Linked DNA regions of Arabidopsis thaliana. The protein of the gene in region 1 interacts with the protein of each later gene in a pairwise test. Each region holds a gene or a part of one and is shown on either strand. Other genes may lie near its edges.

Evidence for each region.
Region 2: the proteins of PGR5 (region 1) and PGR5-LIKE A interact in a two-hybrid assay, tested with the Arabidopsis thaliana proteins (one study listed by BioGRID).
Region 3: the proteins of PGR5 (region 1) and petB interact in a protein complementation assay, tested with the Arabidopsis thaliana proteins (one study listed by BioGRID).

Annotation. Positions count from the first base shown.
Region 1 is NC_003071.7:2,076,284-2,086,542, forward strand, and holds PGR5 (proton gradient regulation 5), read right to left. Parts: upstream 5,577-10,259; 5' UTR 5,405-5,576; coding exon 5,108-5,404; intron 5,026-5,107; coding exon 4,921-5,025; 3' UTR 4,364-4,920; downstream 1-4,363. Other genes in the region: ATG8D (Ubiquitin-like superfamily protein), read right to left, coding at 6,928-7,025, 7,129-7,247, 7,473-7,525, 7,598-7,653, 7,908-7,932, 8,016-8,122, 8,456-8,492. UniProt on the Arabidopsis thaliana protein: Critical for growth under fluctuating-light conditions. Involved in the regulation of the cyclic electron flow (CEF) around Photosystem I. Essential for the reduction of PGRL1A by ferredoxin and for photoprotection.
Region 2 is NC_003075.7:12,005,200-12,012,160, reverse strand, and holds PGR5-LIKE A (PGR5-LIKE A), read right to left. Parts: upstream 5,176-6,961; 5' UTR 5,005-5,175; coding exon 4,806-5,004; intron 4,380-4,805; coding exon 4,267-4,379; intron 4,169-4,266; coding exon 4,072-4,168; intron 3,980-4,071; coding exon 3,879-3,979; intron 3,784-3,878; coding exon 3,727-3,783; intron 3,643-3,726; coding exon 3,566-3,642; intron 3,473-3,565; coding exon 3,310-3,472; intron 3,231-3,309; coding exon 3,133-3,230; coding exon of another isoform or gene 3,129-3,132; exon of another isoform or gene 3,056-3,128; coding exon 2,986-3,055; 3' UTR 2,976-2,985; intron 2,904-2,975; 3' UTR 2,625-2,903; downstream 1-2,624. Other genes in the region: AT4G22900 (transmembrane protein, putative (DUF1191)), read right to left, coding at 909-1,940; LDOX (leucoanthocyanidin dioxygenase), read left to right, coding at 6,102-6,598, 6,683-6,961. UniProt on the Arabidopsis thaliana protein: Ferredoxin-plastoquinone reductase involved in cyclic electron flow (CEF) around photosystem I. The homodimer is probably not involved in CEF.
Region 3 is NC_000932.1:72,133-77,631, reverse strand, and holds petB (cytochrome b6), read right to left. Parts: upstream 2,792-5,499; coding exon 2,786-2,791; intron 1,982-2,785; coding exon 1,340-1,981; downstream 1-1,339. Other genes in the region: petD (cytochrome b6/f complex subunit IV), read right to left, coding at 1-434, 1,144-1,151; psbH (photosystem II protein H), read right to left, coding at 2,926-3,147; psbN (photosystem II protein N), read left to right, coding at 3,252-3,383; psbT (photosystem II protein T), read right to left, coding at 3,449-3,550; psbB (photosystem II 47 kDa protein), read right to left, coding at 3,735-5,261. UniProt on the Arabidopsis thaliana protein: Component of the cytochrome b6-f complex, which mediates electron transfer between photosystem II (PSII) and photosystem I (PSI), cyclic electron flow around PSI, and state transitions.

The DNA.
Region 1 (10,259 bases):
CTGTGTGATAATTGGTGTTGTACCAATACTCGGCGAGAGCTAACCACCTACTCCATAGCTCAGGTCATGCATGGCACATACATCTTAAATAGGTCTCTAGACAGCGGTTGACCACCTTAGTTTGCCCATCTCTTTGAGGATGGTAAGCCATTGTCATTTTGAGTTCAACACCTTGAAGTGTAAAAAATTCCCTCCAAAAAGCACTCGTGAATACAGCATCTCTGTCACTTACAATCGAACTAGGACAACCATGGAGCTTAAAGACATTGTCGAGGTAAGCCTGAGCCACAGTCATAGCACTGTAAGGATGAGCAAGAGCGATGAAATGAGCAGCTTTACTGAGTCGATCCACAACCACCATGATCACTGTTTTCCCATTCGAAAGAGGTAACCCATCTATGAAATCCATAGATACATCACTCCAAATGCGGTCTGGAATTGGCAAAGGTTGCAACAACCCAGGAGAGGCAGCATTATCACTTTTACACTGTTGACAAGTACCACAGCTTCTGATGAATGCCTGAATATCCTTCACCATGCTTTTCCAGTAAAACAACCCTTTCACCCGTTGATGTGTGACTTCTTTACCCGAGTGTCCACCCATTCCAGAGCAATGCAACCATCTCAAAATAGTATCCTTAATTCCACTGTTATTTGGAACCACAATCTTATTCTTGCGTCTTAACACTCCTTGACTCCAAGTATAGTGTTTCTTACTGTCAGCCTGCTGTTGTAGAATTGTGATAATTCCTTGAATATCCCCATCTGTCACATAACCAGCTTGAATCTCTTTTAGTAAATCACACTCGACCACAGATAGAGCCATGTGCAGAACTTCAGACCCCTCTACACGTGACAAAGCATCGGCCACCAGATTCTCTTTGCCTTGCTTGTACTGTATTTCATAATCAAATTCCAACAGTTTAGGTAACCATTGCTGTTGGATGGGAGTGTTGAGCCTTTGTTCCAGCAAATACTTCAGGCTTCTTTGATCTGTCTTAATGATAAAGTGGCTAGAAATCAAGTAATGCCTCCACTTCCTCACAACAAAGATCACTGCCAATAACTCTTTTTCATAAATGGACAGATGCAATTGTTTCCCTTTCAACTGCCTACTGATGAAAGCCAATGGGTGTCCTTCTTGCATTAACACTGCACCAATGCCATGACCACACGCATCCATTTCTACTACGAACTGCTTATCAAATTGAGGTAGAGCTAACACCGGAGTGTTGCACATGTGTCCTTAAGGTTTTGAAAAGCAAGCTGAACTTCAGTAGTCCACACGAAGGAATCTGTTTTAGTTAACGCATGGAGAGGACTTGCAATAGTTCCATAGTTCCTTACAAACCGCCTATAATAACCAGTCAATCCCAAAAAACCACAAAGCTGCTTGAGATTAACAGGAACCGGCCAATCCTGAACTGCCTTGATCTTAGCAGGATCCGTGGCAATTCCCTCCCCACTTATGAAATGGCCTAAGTACTCCACTCTTGGAACTGCAAATGCGCATTTACTCATCTTGGCAAACAAGTGATGCACTCTCATAACCTCAAACACAGCTTCCAAATGCTTCTTGTGTTCTTCCATTGAAGTACTGTATATTAAGATATCGTCAAAGAACACCAAAACAAACTTTCTTAAGAATGGTTTGAAAAAGGAGTTCATTAGACTTTGAAAGGAAGCCGGGGCATTAGTAAGGCCAAATGGCATTACCAAATACTCGTAATGACCATTATGCGTTTTAAAAGCAGTCTTGTGTATATCAAGAGGATCCATGCGAACTTGGTGGTAGCCAGCTCTTAAGTCAATCTTAGAATACACATTGGAGCCACCTAATTCATCCATCAAATCCTCAATTAATGGTATAGGAAACCTGTCCTTCACAGTCATTCCATTGAGCTCTCTGTAATCTACACAAAGCCTCCACGTGCCATCCTTCTTCTTAACCAAGACCACCGGAGAAGCATATGGACTTGAACTCGCTTGTATCGTCCCACTCGCCAACATATCGTCCACAATTTTATCGATTTCATTCTTCTGATGAACAACATAACGGTATGGTCTTTGATTCACCGGATTAGAGTCCTCCAATAATTCTATCTTGTGATCATGTGGTGCTCTAAAAGGAGGTAAATCTGTAGGCTCTACAAAAATATCAGGAAATTCTGTCACAACCTTCTCTACAAATGACTCCTCTCCCATATCTTTTGTTAAGGCATTAATAGAACCCAAAACCTGATGTTCTGTATCATCATCTTCTTCAGATTCAACCACTTCCTTACATATAACATAGCCAACTGAACCTCTTCTTCTTGAAGTTTATGTAGTTTTTGTGCCTTGACCTCTCTCACAGACCCTTCCTTAATACCATGCAGCCACACTTTCTGATTACCATATCTGAACTTCATATCCAACTGCTTAAAGTCCCAAGAAATTCTTCCCAAAGTTTCCAACCACTGAACTCCCAAAACCATATCCACTCCTTGTAATGGAATCAGCAAAATATCTGAGTGAAACTGTGTAGTCTGTAACTTCCAAGAGAAATCCACTATCTTCCCATCCACTTTCAACTTCCTACCATCAGCCACTGAGACCCGAGCCAACCCTGCATCCTGAATCTGACAACCCAACTTAGCCGCCACCTTCGAATCAATGAAGTTATGAGTAGAACCTGAATCAACCAATATAAACAAGGTCTTTTTCCCATAAGCTCCTTTTACCCGCATAGTCTTGTATCCTGAGATACCTGAAACCGCATTCACTGAAATCTGAGGCATATTCTTCTCTTCTTCACCAGTCAATTCCTCTAACGCATCTTCAAACTCTTCATCCACTTCCATACAAAAGAGTTGTTGCTTTTTGTGCACCAAATAATGTTCAGGACTGAACTTCTCATCACAGAAATAACATAAGCCCTTCGTTCTCCTCTCACTCATTTCCTGTTGAGACAGCTTCCTAGCATTATTTGGTTTAAACTCAGGTTTAGTGTATTGATTCTCCTTGTTGTAATATTTGTCAGGTGTATTAGAAGCCTCTCTAGGTGACTTCAAAGTACCAGCTGCTCCACTTGTCTTAGGTTGCCAAGGTGTTGAAGAAAGACGCTTAGGATGTGCCTTCTCATACAGCCTTCCCAAACGAAAACAGTGACGCACCGTTTGTGGTTGAAACATCCTGACATGCATCTGAGTGTCCATTCGCAAACCTGCCAAATAAACACTCACCAAATATTCTTCAGAAAGGTTAACCCGAATCTTAATCAACTCAAACTTCTTATGATAATCAACAATGCCATCTGTTTCCTTTAGCTTCTTCAACTCAGCCATGGGATCATCACAGTCATCATCAAACCGCTCTCTCAACTACTGAACATAACCAGGCCAATCATACAACACCTCCAAACCTACACCCGACTGCATAAAAGAGTGATGCCATGTTGCAGCATGACCATCGAAATGGATAGCAGCCATCTTCACCTTCAGATCTGCATGGGTATAATCAATACCAAAGAACTCCTCTACCTTGAACAACCATTCTTTGATTCCAGATCCATCAAAACGAGGCAAATCAATCTTACCCAAACGCGTCAAGTTACCATAATTGTTTGGGTTTTCAAATCGAACCTGATCATGACGATTTTCCCTTCGCTGATCCTGTTCGTGACGATTGTCTCGTCGTTGATCCTGCTCTGGTCGATTTTCTCATCGGACATCCTGAAAAACCACTCTATCATCCGTTGAAGTTGATGATCGAGGTAGACTCCGCTCACCACTGGACTGCTCATCCGGCTGTTTCTGAGCTGTAGATCTGCTCATCGCAGTCATCATATCAGCCAGATTCTTCATCGTCGCTTTGCTATGAGCTTCCATCATCGCCTCCAGCCTCGCCATCCTCTCCTCCATCGGATCCAAACCTTCCACCTCTTTTCCCTTCTCCTTCGACTCATCATGAAAACGTGTATGAACCATGACTCCAAGGAAAGACAGAGCTTTGATACCTTTGATACAAATAACTTTCCGGTTCACTGTAAAATCAATTCCGATTAAGAATAAATCCCTGATTACAATGAGCAATCGATGTTCATAAAACACCCAAGGATCTGCTAGTCTCGATGTGAGATATCTAGCTTAGAAAAGTTCTCAGAGATTCTAGATTTTACAGATTAATTGATAAAAGAGAAAGATGAGCTGAATATTGCTCATATAGAAGGGCCTAACGGCATGTTTGAGTCTGCCACTCCTCAGTCGACACGCGTCAGCCTCTTATTAATTCCTTCTTCCATTTGATTTCGCACGTGTGACCTCCCACGTGTGGTTCTGTAACATTACTCGTACCCAAATTTTCAACCTAATCAAGGTTAAGGCAACTGGCAACAAGTCAACCTCCTGGAAACCTTTGGGAACGAATGCTTAGCTAGCAGAAACAGAGTTTGTGTTAAAGAATGTCTAGGTAAAGTTCCATATATATCAAGTTTCCACGATGACAACTTTATTGACATATTATGCAATCTTACTTGGGTCTTGAAGTAATCAGTGTAAGCTCACGGTGTTAAAAAACTGCAGCTCTCAATACCTCTCCGATCTTAGGGATGCTTCAATAGAAAGCAAAACTTACAGTCTTTTTCAATCCCTTAATTGTTTGAGAGTTATGATTAGGCTTTTTAATCTGTTGAAAGAGTGGCAATATTACATATTTTGTATCTCTATGTGACTGAGAAAACTAGTTCAGCTAAGACCTTATTGAACAACTTTTCAGATGAGAATGGCAGCAGTTATGTGTGTTTGAGTAACCCTCAAAGGCAATGTAACAAAAATCAAGATTATAGGTTTGGACAAAATACATCTAGACAAGAACAACAAGAGGAGTTGTGAGTGTATATATCAGACACAAGCAGAGAGAAAGATTTGTTCTTTTTAAGACCTAAGCAAGGAAACCAAGCCTCTCTCCATTCTTCTTAGCAAGCCTGATAAGCCCTTGTCTCTGTTTTGCATCTGCTCCAATCGATTTGCAAAACTCAGTGATCACCTGAAAGAACAAAAGAACCCAGTTCCACAAAACTTTGCTTCTTTGACTAGTTCTTAAGAGAATGATTATAAGACAAGCAAACCTGAGAGTGTAAGGCAATGGCTTTTCCTCTGAGCTGATTAAACCTCTTCTTGCCTACTAGGTTGCGTGTGACAACAACTAGAGGTGCAAATAAGCCTTTGCCTTCATTGACATTCTTCATCATTGGAACTGCTCTGATTGCTTTCCTTGAGACTCTGGCTTGTTGCGGTGGCGCAACTGTCTTGGAGAGCATGGTTTGGTAATCTTCTCCGGAGATGGAACTTCCCCATCCTCCATAGAAGGAAGTTCCTATCAAAGTTTGATTACATCCTATTGCAGAAATCGAAGCAGCAGCCATAATCAATCAGCTTCTCCCTCTCTCTCTCGGTCTTTCTGATCGATGTTAATGGTAGAGAGGAAGAGAAATTGTGTGTGTGTGGTTGGATTTTGAGTTTAACATTTTGGTGTGGACAAGGTTTGGGTGTTGTTTTTGTTTGGATGGAGAAACCAGAGCCACAAATATGATTCTGGCTTTTTCGTTTTTTTGACTTAACTTATTACGTTTCTCATGTTGCGGGTTTATGATCCTCTGTATCACGTTTTATTATATCAACATTTCTCCACCGTCGGATTAAATATTCTCCTATCTCATTTTTTATTTTTTATTTTCAGTTGTTTTTGGCCTGGGCATTCGGTTTATTCGGGTAATCGGTTCGGTTTGGTTTAATCGGTTTTTTCGGTTCTTTAAAATTTTGTCAAATTAAACCGAATAAAGATTTGGTTCGGGTCGGTTTGGTTATAGGATTCAAAATCAACTCTGAACTAAACCGATTTTTTTTTTAGTTCGGTTAGTTTATACCGAATAAGTCCAAAATCAAGATAATGGGTCAAAACAAAAATTATAGAATGGGCGAAGATAAACAAAATTTTATAATTACAAACCAATAATTGGGCCAAAACGAAAAACAAACTTAAACCCAAAATAACTAAAAATCCAAACCTATTAAAAATTAGGGTTGATGGTATCTTGGTGCCGCTACCCTCTTCATAATCAGCAGATCTACGTCTGTGACGGTGACGGTGATAGCGAGGGATGACGATATCTCCGTAACGAAATATGCCCCGACGTGCTACCATAGTGAAAACCACATGCAGATAGAGAGAATTGACTAAATAGCCATGGATGAGGATCAAAAGGAAACGGAGAAGAAGCTAAAAAGATTAGATCTAATGTTTTTATCTTTATATTTATAGTATCTATTAACCGAGAAAACTGATCGGTTATGTCTGCCGAACCGAGAACCGAACTTCAATTATAATTTCGCCGATCGGTTTAGCCTTCCCTTCATAGTCGGTTATCAGAACCAAAAAAACGGTTTGTTCAGTTCGGTCATTGGGTTAATCCGAAATCCCAGGCCTAGTTTTTGCTGGATTGTACAGTAATAATCTGTAACAGATGATAATCTATTCTAGAGTGTGCACAAATTTACCTAAATCAAGTTGCTTTTGAAATCTAAATATTTATAGCTAAAGTTATCTCTGTTTTGTGTTCCTTAGAAGCAGAGATTGCAAGAGCTTAGAGATTTGACGGTCGAGCTAACTTTGAGAAGATAGAAATCGTAACGGTTCAACGACTAGTGAAATAGGCCGGGCCAATATTCAAGGAGGACACCAAGTGACCTCAACTATATATAGCGACTAAGTTTGAAATTAAGTGTAGCATAAAGCCAAATTAACACCATGAACGGAAGACCTTATCATGTTAATAACATAGCATGCAAGTTTCAAAAGCTTCGTCCAATGTCATGAAAACTAGAGACAAGCAGAGAAATAGACAGACTGTACATTGATAATCTGATGCATCCACATATTCCAAGCGCATTAGAAGAAGATCCCGAACGTGTTCTCACCACTGTAACTCATGTATAGAAACCCGTCTTCGTCTTTGTGCTCTTCATAAATTGCAGACATTATTGCCGCTGCAATAAAAGGATAACACTACTACTATTAGCTCAACTGAGAAAAAGATATGATTCCTTGAACTGGAAAAGTATATGATTAAGGAACGTGTTTGAAACTAACCAGTTGGTGGTAGAATGTTCTTGACAAAAATGAAGATGGCTTTCTCGGGACTGAGCTTGATCCGCTTCCGTACAACATAAACAAACTGGCCAACAGTCAAATCAGCTGGGACCAAGTACCTAAAGTTTTGAATAGTAAGTCAGCCAATTCATTATCCCTAAGCAACAAACCATGAAAACCAGAAATTCCTCCAGATCTTTCAATAAAAAAAAATTATTTCTATCCAATTAACCAATTCATTACTAAATGTGAGGGAGTGTAGGGTTCTCAGAAAAGGGCTTGAAGCCACTTTCAGTGAGAAGAAAGAGATTATATCCAACTCCTCAAGAGAAGTAAGGACTTACTTTTTCCTATCAATATCCGGGACATCACTCTTCTCGGCTCTTTCGACAATGACCTGCAACAATTTCAGAGAGAATAAGGCAAAAGCTATGCAATTTTCTTAAATGAAAATAGCCAAAATTCATACTGGTATTCTGTCTGGATACTTCTCCCTGATACGTGCTGCTTCAGCTTGTCTCTTTTCTGTAACATTCAAGAGCAAAAAAAACACAGATCCATCAATTTTCAACACATCAACATCCTCTAACCCACGTAAAACAACACAGACTCAGCGATAATATCTTAGGATTCCACTTGAACAGAGACTATAATGTACTTTGCTTCCTCAGCAAAAGTAGAACAAAATCAAAACATGTTTCAATCAAAGATTATGTACACTACTACTCCAGGCTCCAGGGACTAAAATAGTGATTCTAAGCCTCGTGAACAACACATACTCAGTGATAATATCTTAGGATTCCACTTGAACAGAGACTATAATGTATTTTGCTTCCTCAGCAAAAGCAGCACCAAATCAGAACATGTTTCAATCAAAGATTATGTACAGGGACTGAAATAGCGATTCTACGCCCCGTGAACAACAGAGACTCGACCACGGAACACAAGAGAGACAAGTGAAACTTAGTAACTTCAACATCAATATTCATCTCCACTTGAATAAAGATCATAATGTATTTGCATCAATAAACACAAAACTTGTTTCAATCAAAGATTATGCATACTACTTCACGAAACAATACAGAATCGGCGATAAAATCATTCAACATATAATTTTGCGGATTCTTATAACTGTTAACGCAATCAAAATTGAAATCGTTGGAAATCAGAATCAAGGATCAATTCATGCAAACTCAGAAGCAATTGAAATAGACGTAACCAGATTTTGAGAATTTTTAAACCTAGTCGCTAAAAAAATCCCTACGATGAGAGAGAGATACACAAAGATCAACAAGATTGATCGATTAGGTTTAAATCGAAAACGAACCAAGAGGATGTTCATGCTTGAAGGAGCTAATCGCCATGATTTTTCGCTGCGAGAGAGAAACAGAGAAGAGAGAAGCAAGGGTTTGTGTTCAACGTCGAAATTGGGTAACTCCAAAGAATGGAGATAGTTATTTGGAATGTTTATAAAAAGGGTACGCTTGGCAACAGATCTTTATATATTTAATTACTTAAAACTTAAGAGTTAAGAGTTAAGAAGTATTGAAATATTGGATGTATTAGGCCTGAATGGATATTTTCGATTCAGTTTTTGAGTTTAGATTTTAGTCTATAGATTTTAGATTTTTGTTATTATATTTTTGTTTTAAAAACCCCTAAAAAATTGGTTTTTGGTTTTTGAAAAAATAACGTTGATTGAGTAAAAACTAGATTTTCTAAACTTTAGAAAAACTAAAAAACTTAAATATGAATGGAAAACTACAATAAAATAGTTTTACTAAATTGTAGGGAAACCAAAATTTTAAAATCTTGATTGGTATTAAAATAAGTTTTTAAAAAACAAAAATCAAAAACTCTTACAAAATCTAAAAAACATTCAAGGTCTTAGTTTTTTTTTTTGGGTTTTGTGTAAAAAAATCTATCTATTTAACACTCTCTGTTTTTTGAAAAAAATAAGTTTTTAAAAGATTAATTTTTAGATTTTTTATGAAATATTTATTAGTTATTATTAATTAATTATAAACTTTGATAAAAATAATTGAATATTATTGATTTAAAGTTATAAAAAATTGTAAAATACAAAAAATAATACATTTAACAATTTTAATATGTTTAACTTAATATGTGTGTTTTTCCTAACCAATCAAATAAAAAAGAACAGATGAAGTCATTTTTTATAAGATAAACTATTATGTCAAATAAATGTAGGTTTGATATAGACGATAACTCTATTAAAAACATAAAGATTTAGTGTAAAAAATTTCTATGTAAACTTTTTTTGTAAAAAAAAATCTTCATATCAAATAAATGAATGTCAACACTACAATCTTAAAAATCACTCATAATATTATCTTTTTGTGTAGTGATGACATGACAACCAATAACTACATTAGAAAACATACAATAAAACAAGAGTATTTATAATAAATGACTATAGATTTGAAAAGAATGTACAAACTAACCTTGAATCACAGTATCTTGTCGGAAACATGTTGGAAAACACGTGTAATTACGTAAATGTCCTTTGTAACATGTTATTTTTCCGAAATACATGCGATAACATAATATCCTCTTTTTATCTTGTTATTTTCTCTTATTACATAGTATTTATTAAAAAGCACCTGGTATTTTTTGGAAAAAACATTCTATTCAGTTTAATATCTCTTTTTATCATGATATTTTGTAGTAATACACGTTTTTTATTAAGATCACACGTGATTTCTTTAAAAATATATTCCTATTTTTTAGTAATACATGGTTTTTATTAAAATCACATATAATTTTTTTTTTTTAAGATTCTGTTCACGTAAAAGAATTTCATAAGAATATTTTTTCTTAAAAATTCATAACGTTTTTTGAAATAGCATGTTTTTAAACTAAATATAACATGTGAAATTTTAATGTTACATGCTATTTTGAAAAATTACACGGATGTATTTCGTTTACTGTTCATCTTACAACAAATGAAGGGTAGATTTGTTATTTCCTTTCTTCCGACAACGTGGGATCCATGGTTATTTTGTAACAAAAAACTTTCTCTCTGCTAGTTTCTTAATTTGTATGTTTTATTTGGTTATCTACTAATATTACCCATAAAACAATATACACCAAAATTATTGAATTTTTAT
Region 2 (6,961 bases), on another chromosome or scaffold:
TTCTAGAAATTTTTCCAAAAAGATATATACTAGTCAAAAATGGTTCAATGAAATTTTAGAAAAATACACTTATACAGTTATAAGAAATTAATTTTAATTTTCTTAATAAGCTAAAGTCTAAAATCTTAGAAAAAAAAAAATCTTAGTTTCATATCTTACAGAATTGAGATACAAAGTATAAACCAAAACTTAAATATCAAAGATATAAAAGAAAATTTACCAAAAAAATATTCAAAAAATAATCCAATCAAATATAACAAAAGACAATAGTTATAAGATTTTTTTTCTGTCAACTATAAGAAATTGATCAAATTATATCTATATTTTATTTTATTTTTTCTTAAACTAAATCACAAAAAACTGAAAGAAAAAGAAAAACAAAACCTTACTAAAATGAGTAAAAATTGATTGCAAGTTGCAATGAAGGTGGTGATTTGTTTATATTTCCGTACTTCGCATTAACAATAGCTTACTGGAGAAGATGCTTGTTGATGTGTAGGTGGAAAATTCTGTTAACTAGTCACAATACTGATAAAAGTATATTTTCTTCACTAAATCAGAAATATACATTTAATTAAAAAGTTGGAAAAAGAGATTAATAAATCAAAATGAAAAGAAAAAAATAAAGCTTACAGTATGAAAGTTGGGGGGACTCTCTGATTTTTTTAAATTTTTTTGCATAATTTCACTGACCATTTTATAGAAAATAAAAAAGAGAAAATTCTCCATTCTGTAAAAGTCTTTACTTTTAGTAAAAAGAAAACTAACGATTATAGCCGTTTAACCAAAAACTAAAAAAAAATGGATGAAATTTCATTTTGAAGCCATTGAAACTATTTCTACAAAACTATTTATCTTAAGATACTCAATTAACACAAAAAGAAGAAAAATCAGAAAACAAATGATAATTATGGATAATTACTATTCAAATGAGTGTTTTTATTATACCTATCATCGGAAATTCTAGGAAGAGTTCTAGTTCCAGGAGCAGTAGGAGCTCTAACATGACCCACCATTGACACCTGAAGAGCTTCTTCTTCATAAGCTCTTCTCTCCATTTCTTCTCTCATTGCTTTCTTCTTCCCCTTCACCAACATCGCCACCACTAACATTCCCAGCAGAATTGCTCCAATCCCTGACCCTATCACACTCCCCACCGCCACTTTCCAACGGCTCAACTTTCCTCCTCCGTTGCCACCATTCACCTCCGTCGATGATGCCACCACTCCACCACTACTACCACCACCTTCATGATCATCTTTTTGAGCTTCTGTCTTCATCACGAGAGCGTAATGCCCTTGTCTTGTACCTTTACACACATACGGCGAGACTTGCTCGCTAAACGTTGTGTTACTGTTGCTTGTAAAACACGCACACAAGACTGACGAGTTCTTCTTCGTAGGGTTAGGGCTAGTGTTATTAGTTGCCTTGTTGATCAAGAAATCGATTAAGATTGGGTTTTGATCGGTACCTACAACATTAACCTCGTAAGGGTTCCTGGCCACACCGTCAGGGTTAGCATTATAAGCCAACAAACCAAGAACCGGTGACACGAGCTTGTAATTGTAACCGGATAAGTTATAACCAGTAGAGTAGATTGAAGACCAATTCGAACCAAAGTTTTGTCTAATTAGCATGACTCTCTCCGGACATGGCTCCACCGTAAGGCCTGAACCGATGTGAAACTCTCCAATTTTTGCGCCATATCTTCTCAAACTCCCACACCTTAACTTGACCGTGTCAATATCGATACCAGAGAAATTAGAAGGGAGATAGATTTTCTGAGTGACGCCTGTGTTGAAATTGAGCTTAAAGTTTCTAATGGTGTAATCTCTGATCATGAGATCAAGAAGATGTGTAGATTGAATCAATTGAGACTTAGATTGGTGGAATGATAAGAGAAGTATCATGATGATGATACAAAAAGAGAATGAATCCATAAGAGGAACAAGAGAATCTAGGGTTTACAAGAGGAAGTGAAGATAAGAGGAAAGAAAGAAAGTTTTGATGGTGTTTTTACTTTTGTGGGGGATGTGTGTTTTGGGACACAAACATTATAAACACTTACACTTCATTTGTCAGATTTCTCTTTTACCTTTATAGAAGACATGATCTAATTGTTAAATAAGCATATGACCGTTCTAACGTAGAGGTTTTAAAATTTTTAAATCAACGTAAAAGCAATTAATAGGTTCAGTAGTGGAGGAGAAAATTGGATCAATGATGATAGAGGCATGGGAAGATGATGATCATGATTACACTTTCTGTGTTAATTAAAATTCATAAAAAAAAATTGTAATCAATTTTTAGACTAAAAAAGAGAGAGACATTGGCGTGCTAATGTTTGTGTGACTTTATCCTCTTTTGTGCAATGTTGTTACCTTTGTCTGTCCTTTCATTATATATGTTCTTGACTTTAGTTCTCTTCTCAATCAATCTCTTTATGTTCCACACCATTTCATAAAATTTACATCCAAATTAACACCATGCATTTCTCATAGTTTCTTGCCTCGGTAAGCAAATGTATATAATCGTGTATGCTTTTCGTTTTCTTGACTTAAAATCATTTTTTAAGGTCGTTTTAGATACAAATCATAATAGTATTAGAAATGTACCAAAGTTAATTTGAAATTGTAAAGTTATCGAAATAAACATTTTAAATTCGAATTTGGTCTTTCATGTATACAATTTGATTTAACTATAGTAATGATTATATTTTTATCTACAAAGGTAGATGAAGAAGTGCTCATATTATATATCTCTTATTGCTTACACACAATACTTACAAATCAGAAAACATGTGAAGGAGAGAGAGCTAACATGGAAGATCTTACATATACATTTAACTTCGAATCTATTTTGCTTCTGACAAAACCCATTCTTCTTTTCCCATCTTCATCTAGCTGGAAAAAGCAAATTTTACTATCTCTGACTTCCATGTGATCTAAAGAATTTACTATAAATGAGATGTGTACCTCACAGGGTTTAAGCTTGGCTTCCTTCTGGCAATGTGATCAACCTAGAACCCGAGTCATACACCATCGCGGTTCCGCAGCTAAAAACAGAGATAATCAAAGAATCAGATAGTAATATGTTACACTTTTGAAACCATATTCGAAGGTAAAATCTTACTTGGTGCATTTGACAGTGTTGGTTTTGCCGCCGCTGGAGATTGACAGAATTGTTCCAAAGAAGGAGGTGTTTTCCGTTCCACAATTCGGACAAGGACCCTGTGAAACAAGAAACATTCATAAAAAGGCTCTTTGATGTTTTTCTTTTGCAATCTTGAGTAATGGTAATGGTTCTTACCTTCAAGATCAAGAAGTCCTTGATGATCAATTTGGTGATTGATAAAGCCAGATATACAATCACAGGCACAGCAGCGAACCAAGTGAATATGAAACTGTATGGTTCTGGAAGCTCCATGATGTATGTGATCTCAAAACCTGTAATGTCGTCCAGGAAGAAAAAGCTGCAAGTACAGAATTGAATGAATAAACAAAGACGAAATATGGGTTTCATATGATTTGGATGTTTGAATAGAAAACTCGGTATAGAGACTCACAGTCCGAGAGCAACAACGGTTGCTGGAACATTCAACAATAACATTTTGAAATAATCTACAGCGAGATCACTATACACCTACATTTGAGGAAGTTCATAAAGACTGAAAATTAGTATCTATCTATAATCTAATATTAACAATGAATCTTATGTTCTATTTACCTTTTTACTACGGAGACTGCATCTTGGACCCTCGCTCACAATGTCGCTACCATCAATCTACATGGATACAGAAAGAATCATAAACTTGAAGCTTAAACCAATCTTATAAGGGTATGTCTATTTTCACTGAAGCATAAAAAGTGAATGGAAACCTTTAGTTTGAGTTTGAGCTTATCATATTCTTCATCATTCAAGATTGGATTTCCAGAAACATAAGCCATGGAAGCTTCCAAGAATCTTTGTTCATCGGAACCTGTGTTTCATATTACCAATAAAAGATTTAGGACTTTGCACCAAAGAAACCAAAACAAAGAAATGAAATTTAGTCCCATAGTTGATGATTACTTAGCATCACAACACTGCTTCCTTCCCACATTAACTCTTCTTTAAGGTTATCAAACTCTTCATTAGACATGATCGCTTTGCCATCATAATAGAAAGACTGTAATCAAAAGACAAAAGCAATTCTCAGGCTCTTGAAGATTAGATATATATCATGTTTTGGCAACTATAAAAAAAATGGTTTATTGTAGCGTTTACTTGCAACGCTTGGAGAAACTCTTGTTCCATTTCACCAATTGTTTTCTTCTCAGCCTTGTTGATGCTACAATAGGGCAAAACATTGCTATCGACGTTGTCTCCTCCTACTGGACCTTAAGGAAGACAAAAAGACTGTAATTGAGAACTTCATAGCAAATCTAAAGTTGATACCTTACTTATGCAACCTAATAGTTACACAACTTCTGACATTGCAAAACTTTAGTACAGAGTTAACCACTAAATAGTCAACAAAGTCCAATACAAACAAATATACTATACCAAAGTTATAGCCATTGAATCAATCAAACCCTTCAAAGAATTGAACTTTAACAGGATTCGAGTCTGGATACTACAAGTTAGTGACTTAAAAACATAAATTTTCAGAGCTAGAGACGTTGAATTAAAATAATATATCCTAAATTTCAAAAGGCTCAAACTTTGGAAACCCAATTGTGAACAAATTCGAATCCAAATGGCTTTGTAAACAGAAAACTAAGGCGGAGTGTTCGAAATCGAGACTAAAGTGGCCAAATCAAGACCTGATTGCTCTGTTGTGGCTTTAGCAGGCAACAAGAAGACTCTTCTTCTCAAAGAAATCGATTTTCCAGGGCTGAGCTGAGTCCATTGAGTCCTCGAAGACGGCGACGGAGGAGAAGGAGAGAAAGAAGAGGAAGGTTTGCGAGAAACGGCGGAGAAAAGTCGAGGACTTGTCAAACTAAACAACATCTTGCTACCCATTTTCCCTTAGAGATAGAAAAGGGAGCTCCTTTTTTTCCTCTGTTTTTTTCAGTAAGTATGAACCTGTGGTTGAAGATGTGTTTACTGTGAGCTTCTCAGGTTTCTTCTGATTTTTTTTTTTTTTTTTTTTTTTGGTTTTATTATAAATTTGGAGGGAAGAAATTAGGAGATAAGAGAAGTGTGGAGATAAATTCCTAGGCAGATTTCTCTTATTTTTTCCTTCCTCTCATCCTCATAATCAGAATATCCACGTCAGCATTAAATATCCGGTTTTCTTAAACAAAACAAAAACTTAAAATAGAGAAAAGACATAATTTTAGGCTTTGATTATACAATAAAAAAAATACTGTGAGATGAGTAAGAAGATTTTTTTTTCGAAACATGGTGATTTTTTAAAAAAATTTGACATGTAGTATGTGTAGTTGAATTCAGCTGATAATATACTTTAGTACAAACCATTAAAATAAAAATGAGTTCCAAATTTTAAAAAACAAACAAGATAAATAATTTAGTTTTCCAAAAGAATTATTGATCCACATACAATTGTCTATTTGAAATTGAAAACCAGTCAAATTGTTTTTTTAGTAATTGATTTCCAAACTACAAAAAGAAAATGTGGTTAGTAGAAGAACTAGTAGAGGTGAACACGTGGAGACACGCTTAAAGCACGCGACGAAGAACACGTTGATAGCGATTATGGGTTTAATTCTATTGGGCCTTTTCTGGGAGTCTAGACCCAAGCCCATATAGTAGTAATCTTTTTGACCAATCAGTCAACCCAACCATCCTCTCCCGTTGACCGTGAAGTGAGTCACGCACTTACCTCACAACAATAGCACTAACCACCGGTAGCTCTACAATGTCTCTTAGTTCGGTAACAAACTCTTCTAACTAAAAGTATAGTAAAAACTTTGCTATATAAGAAAGAGTCTTTGCACATTTCATTTACTTGCAACCAATTACAAAAAAGAGTGTAAGAAGAAAAACAAAACAAATCCATTTTTTTTATTACTCTGTTTTTTCCCCTGTTTTTAAGTTTATTTACTTCTTACTCTGTTTTCTGCTCTGTTTTAGCTTTAAACAGAAGACTAAAGAAGATGGTTGCGGTTGAAAGAGTTGAGAGTCTAGCAAAAAGCGGAATCATATCGATTCCAAAAGAATATATTCGTCCAAAAGAAGAGCTCGAGAGCATCAACGATGTTTTCCTAGAAGAGAAGAAAGAAGACGGTCCTCAAGTTCCCACAATCGATCTAAAGAACATCGAGTCAGACGATGAAAAGATCCGTGAGAATTGTATTGAGGAGCTGAAAAAGGCATCTTTGGATTGGGGAGTGATGCATTTGATCAACCATGGAATACCAGCTGATCTAATGGAGCGTGTCAAGAAAGCCGGAGAAGAGTTTTTCAGTTTGTCTGTGGAAGAGAAGGAGAAGTATGCAAACGATCAAGCCACTGGAAAGATTCAAGGCTATGGAAGTAAATTGGCTAACAACGCGAGTGGACAATTGGAATGGGAAGATTACTTCTTTCATCTTGCGTATCCTGAAGAGAAGAGAGATCTATCAATTTGGCCTAAGACACCAAGTGATTACATGTAAGCTTTGAATTGTTTTACTAAAGAAAACAAAATCTTGTTTTGGTTTTAGAATCTTTTATTAACGTTTTTCGATGATTGTAGAGAAGCAACGAGTGAGTACGCGAAGTGTCTTCGTTTGCTAGCGACTAAAGTCTTCAAGGCTCTCTCTGTCGGTCTAGGTTTAGAGCCTGACCGTCTAGAGAAAGAAGTTGGTGGTTTAGAAGAGCTTCTTCTACAAATGAAGATAAATTACTATCCAAAATGTCCTCAGCCTGAGCTAGCACTCGGTGTGGAAGCTCACACCGATGTAAGCGCTTTAACTTTCATTCTACACAACATGGTTCCGGGTTTGCAGCTTTTCTACGAGGGCAAATGGGTCAC
Region 3 (5,499 bases), on another chromosome or scaffold:
TTGCTCCAATACCTAACCACAGGGCCGCCGCGGTGCCAATCAAAAAGACGGTTGTCGCTACTGGACGACGAAATGGATTTTGAAACTTATTAACATTTTCCAAAAAGGGTACGGTTAATAATCCCGCTGGTACTGAAACCATTAAAAGAACACCCAATAATTTGTTAGGCACTGTACGAAGTATTTGAAATACAGGAAAGAAATACCATTCAGGTAATATTTCCAAAGGAGTTGCAAAAGGATCCGCAGGTTCACCAATCATTGATGGTTCTAAAACCGCTAAGCCTACGTTACAGGCAATGGTACCAAGAATAACTACTGGAAAAATATATAAAAGGTCGTTGGGCCATGCGGGTTCCCCGTAATAATTGTGACCCATACCTTTAGCTAATTTAGCTCGTAATACAGGATCATTCAAATCTGGTTTTTTTGTTATTGGGATAGGTGAATTCTTATGGATCCATCCCCCGAGGGAACCGGACATGATAATTTTTTATCATCCGGCTCGAGCAAGAATTAACCAAACTAAATGAATACATACAAAAAATATAATTTAATATGTAAAAATTAATTATCCGATTCCAAAGTTATTGCAACTAAAGATTCAAGAAATTCCATTCTTACAGGTAAATGCTCAACACCCACGTAAGCTTAAAAAGTTTATCATGATTAAGTGCTTTCTGGGTCGTCTCATACCTTATAAATTCGTCCTTAATCTCAACAATTATATCGAGATTTTTCAAATACAAAGGATTTACTTGTTACTAATGGAGTCTACCCTCTACTCTTCATTAGATCCTGTATTCACTCCGATAGTATCATAAATCGAGTCGATGCAGAGAAAATGAATGCATTTACATACTATTACTATTAATAATTATTTTCTTTTTTTTTTTTAGTCCAAAATAACTAAAAACATAATCAGGATTTTGTTCCATCCCTTAATCTACTGGATTTTACGGAGCCCACTCATCCACGACAGCGTCGGGTACGATCATAGAAAAGATTCTCTTCAAGTGAACCAGCCTATCCCCTGTATGGGGCTTACACAGTGGTTGGAACAAAGACACATTTGGTTGTGAATTCCAATGTAGCAGATAAAGTAATATTTCTGCACGGCCCGATCAATAGTTCAAGTCACACACTCCCATAATCCATTATCTCTTCATAGAATTCCCTTCAACTTTTTATGTCAAAAAAATAATAAAATATTGTGGAGTTGAAGGGAAATATCCAAATACATGTTTTATTTTTTTAATAATCCATATTTATAGCAATAAAATACTATCGTTCCTTCACCAAGTAATAAGTAAGTACAAATACCTAGAATCTATATTATTTATAAGGGACCAGAAATACCTTGCTTACGTATCATTAGGAAATGCATTAACATAAAGACGGCCGTAAGAAGAGGTAATACAAAAGTGTGTAAACTATAAAAACGAGTCAAAGTGGATTGTCCAACACTAGCACTTCCGCGTAATAATTCTACAAGAGGTGATCCTATTACCGGAATAGCGTCAGGTACACCTGTTACAATTTTGACCGCCCAATAACCAATTTGATCCCAAGGTAAAGAATAACCTGTTACACCAAAAGATGCGGTCAATACACCCAGAACCACACCAGTAACCCAAGTTAATTCGCGAGGTTTTTTAAAACCACCGGTGAGGTATACACGAAATACGTGCAGGATCATCATTAGGACCATCATACTTGCCGACCATCGATGAACTGATCGGATTAACCAACCAAAGTTAGCTTCAGTCATTATATATTGAACAGAAGCAAAAGCTTCAGTAACGGTTGGACGGTAATAAAAAGTCATAGCAAATCCCGTAGCTACTTGTACTAAAAAACAAGTAAGGGTAATTCCGCCTAGACAATAAAATATGTTGACATGCGGAGGAACATATTTACTAGTTATATCATCTGCAATCGCCTGAATCTCAAGACGTTCTTCGAACCAATCATAAACTTTATTGAGATAGGTAAACCAAGGTTACTCCCCCTCCAAGAACTGTATATGAGAATTTCATCTCGTACAGCTCAAACAAAAAAAGACCCAAATACTGATTGAAACAGATATGGAATATAAAGTTTTAAACTTGTCTCTCATTCAATATTATTTTTTATTATTTAAAGATATGAAAGAGTCAAAATGCGAAAGCTCGTCTTTGTGGTTAAATGCCAAAAAATCAAGTAAGCTCATTCGTCTTTATGTTGTGTTGATCGTTACAGGCCTCTTGAATCTTCTAGATTACCTATCTTTATTGTCTTTTTTTATTTGGTATTTGTATGGAACGGGGACAGGGATTTCTTCTTGTTTTCTTTATTATTGATAGGAATTCTCTTGTTAAGACCCTACTTAACTAATCAATTGAAACCTCAGATTCATACGAGAACCACGATAATTTAATGAAACCTTCAAAGTCCAAAGTTCACTGAGTGAGAACCATTGGATCATCACTTATTCAATAAAAAAAAAGCTATAATGACTAAAAACATAAAATACAAAGAAGCGTTTGTCCTTTGATCCAAATAAGAGTTTAAAAGCAGAAAATTTTTTTGATTTATTAAAGTTTATAAGATAGAACGGAAAGAAGTCCGGCTACGAGGTTTGAGTATTTAAGTATGAATCATAGTTCGAATACTTTGTGATCTATTTGATCTATTTCGTGCTCCAGATACTCGAATGAATATCCGACGAAGTAAAACCATCTTGATAAAGATGACAGACCCCATTCTCTGTACTATCCATAGGGTCAATTCTAACAAGTCACACACTCATATTCCGGAAATATACAATGCAGAAAAAAATTTCGCGGTCGAACTACCAAAGGAGAATAGGCTAAAATTGTTAGACCTGCATACTTTACTTTTTTGTATCGAGCTAAAAGCTAGAACTTCAAGATTCTTCTCAGTCTAATTCACTGAAATTCCATCCAGTAGAACAGAAGAATTATAAATCTCCAAAATAATAGATAGGAATACCGCAAATAGAGCCATTGCAACACCCATCAAAGGGGTCGTTCCCCATCCGGGAGCTACTTTACCATATTCGGAATTCAATGGTTTCAATAACTTCCCTACAGTAGTGCTTCTTGGACCAGATCTAGAACTATCTTCAACAGTTTGTGTAGCCATAAATCTTATTTTGTATTCATTACGATCTGTTGACTTTGTATACCATTCCGTTGTAAATAAATGATCTTAGCATAGATCCGGTGTGGTCTTTCAATTCTATAATAATGGAAACAGCAACCCTAGTCGCCATCTTTATATCTGGGTTACTTGTAAGTTTTACTGGGTATGCTCTATATACTGCCTTTGGGCAACCCTCTCAACAACTAAGAGATCCATTCGAGGAACACGGGGACTAGTTAACGTAATCAGCCTCCAAATATTTGGAGGCTGATTACGTTAATGAAGATAATGAAAAATTATTTCATTTTTTAGTTGAAATTTTAGGTGGTTCCCGAAAAAAAATAGCGAAAAAAATTATCCCTAAAGTGGATACTAAGAGAAATGTATAAACCAATGCTTCCATAAATTTGATCGTGGTTTACAATTATAGCTTTCATACCTGTTTTGTTTACGTTTTGTTTACTTGGGAGGATAAAGAAAGAAAAAGAGTCAAAGAAACGGCAGCGATTTAAATAAAGATTCCTACAGTACCCTACCTATTAAATAAAATAACAAACAGAAACTAGAAGAAAAAAAGCAATGTTGCATCAGACTGCTTGTCGTTTTGTAGTTGGATCTCCAAGTTTTTGGAATGCCCCGAATTCCACTTGAGCATCCAAATCTGGATCAATACCAGCAAAAACATCTCTGAAGAGGGTTCTAGCACCATGCCAAATGTGTCCAAAGAAGAAAAGTAGAGCAAACGAAGCATGTCCAAACGTAAACCAACCTCTTGGGCTGCTACGAAAAACACCATCAGATTTCAAAGTCGCACGATCTAATTCAAAAATCTCACCCAATTGAGCCCGTCTAGCATATTTTTTCACAGTTGCGGGATCACTATAACTCACTCCATTGAGTTCACCACCATAAAACTCAACAGTTACACCTACTTGTTCGACACTATATTTTGATTCTGCCCTTCTAAACGGGACGTCAGCTCTAACAATTCCGTCTCCGTCTACCAAAACTACCGGAAAAGTTTCAAAAAAAGTAGGCATGCGGCGTACAAAAAGTTCACGCCCTTCTTTATTTCTAAAGACGGGGTGGCCTAACCATCCAACAGCTATTCCATCCCCATTGTCCATTGAACCCGCTCGGAATAACCCCCCTTTTGCTGGATTATTACCAATATAATCATAAAAAGCTAATTTTTCAGGAATTTTCGCCCAAGCTTCTGATAAACTTTGATTTTCAGCCAGTCCAGCACTAACTCTTCGATATATTTCTTGTTGAAAGTATCCCTGATCCCATTGATAACGAGTAGGACCAAATAATTCGATGGGAGTAGTTGCAGAACCATACCACATAGTTCCAGCAACAACAAAAGCTGCAAAAAAGACAGCAGCAATACTACTGGAAAGGACGGTTTCAATATTGCCCATACGTAATCCTTTGTATAGACGTTGAGGCGGACGAACACTAAGATGGAATAGGCCCGCTAATATACCCAACGTCCCTGCTGCAATATGATGAGAGGCTATTCCTCCCGGAACAAAAGGGTCAAAACCCTCCACGCCCCACGCCGGGTTTACGGGTTGTACCTTTCCGGTTAGTCCATAAGGGTCGGATACCCATATTCCAGGACCATATAATCCTGTTACATGAAATGCGCCAAAACCGAAGCAAGCCACTCCTGAAAGAAATAAATGAATTCCAAAAATCTTGGGCAAATCCAAAGAAGGTTTTCCTGTACGTTCATCACAAAAAATTTCTAGATCCCAATATACCCAATGCCAAATAGCTGCCAAGAAGCACAAACCAGAAAACACTATATGTGCTCCGGCTACCCCTTCGTAACTCCAAAGACCCGGATTCGTTATAGTCCCCCCTGTAATATTCCAACCGCCCCAAGAATTGGTTATTCCTAAACGAGTCATGAAAGGTATAACGAACATACCTTGTCTCCACATTGGATCAAGAACGGGGTCGGAGGGATCAAAAACTGCTAATTCATATAGAGCCATCGAACCAGCCCAACCAGCAACTAGAGCAGTATGCATTATATGAACAGCAAGTAAACGACCGGGATCATTCAATACAACAGTATGAACACGATACCAAGGCAAACCCATGGAAATACCCCTTTATCAACGAAAAATAGACACTATGTAACTTTATTGCATTGGAAAAAACTATGCTACGTACCCCCCCTTTTTAGGTAATTATTTCGGAGAAAGGATTAATATTTGTTCTATTCTGTTAGTAATAATGGAACAATTCAATTCATAGAAAAAAAGGGAAGCGGATCTATTCTATATCCGATAAGTACCAATATGCAATGGGGGTTAATCCTATTTTCTATGAACCAAG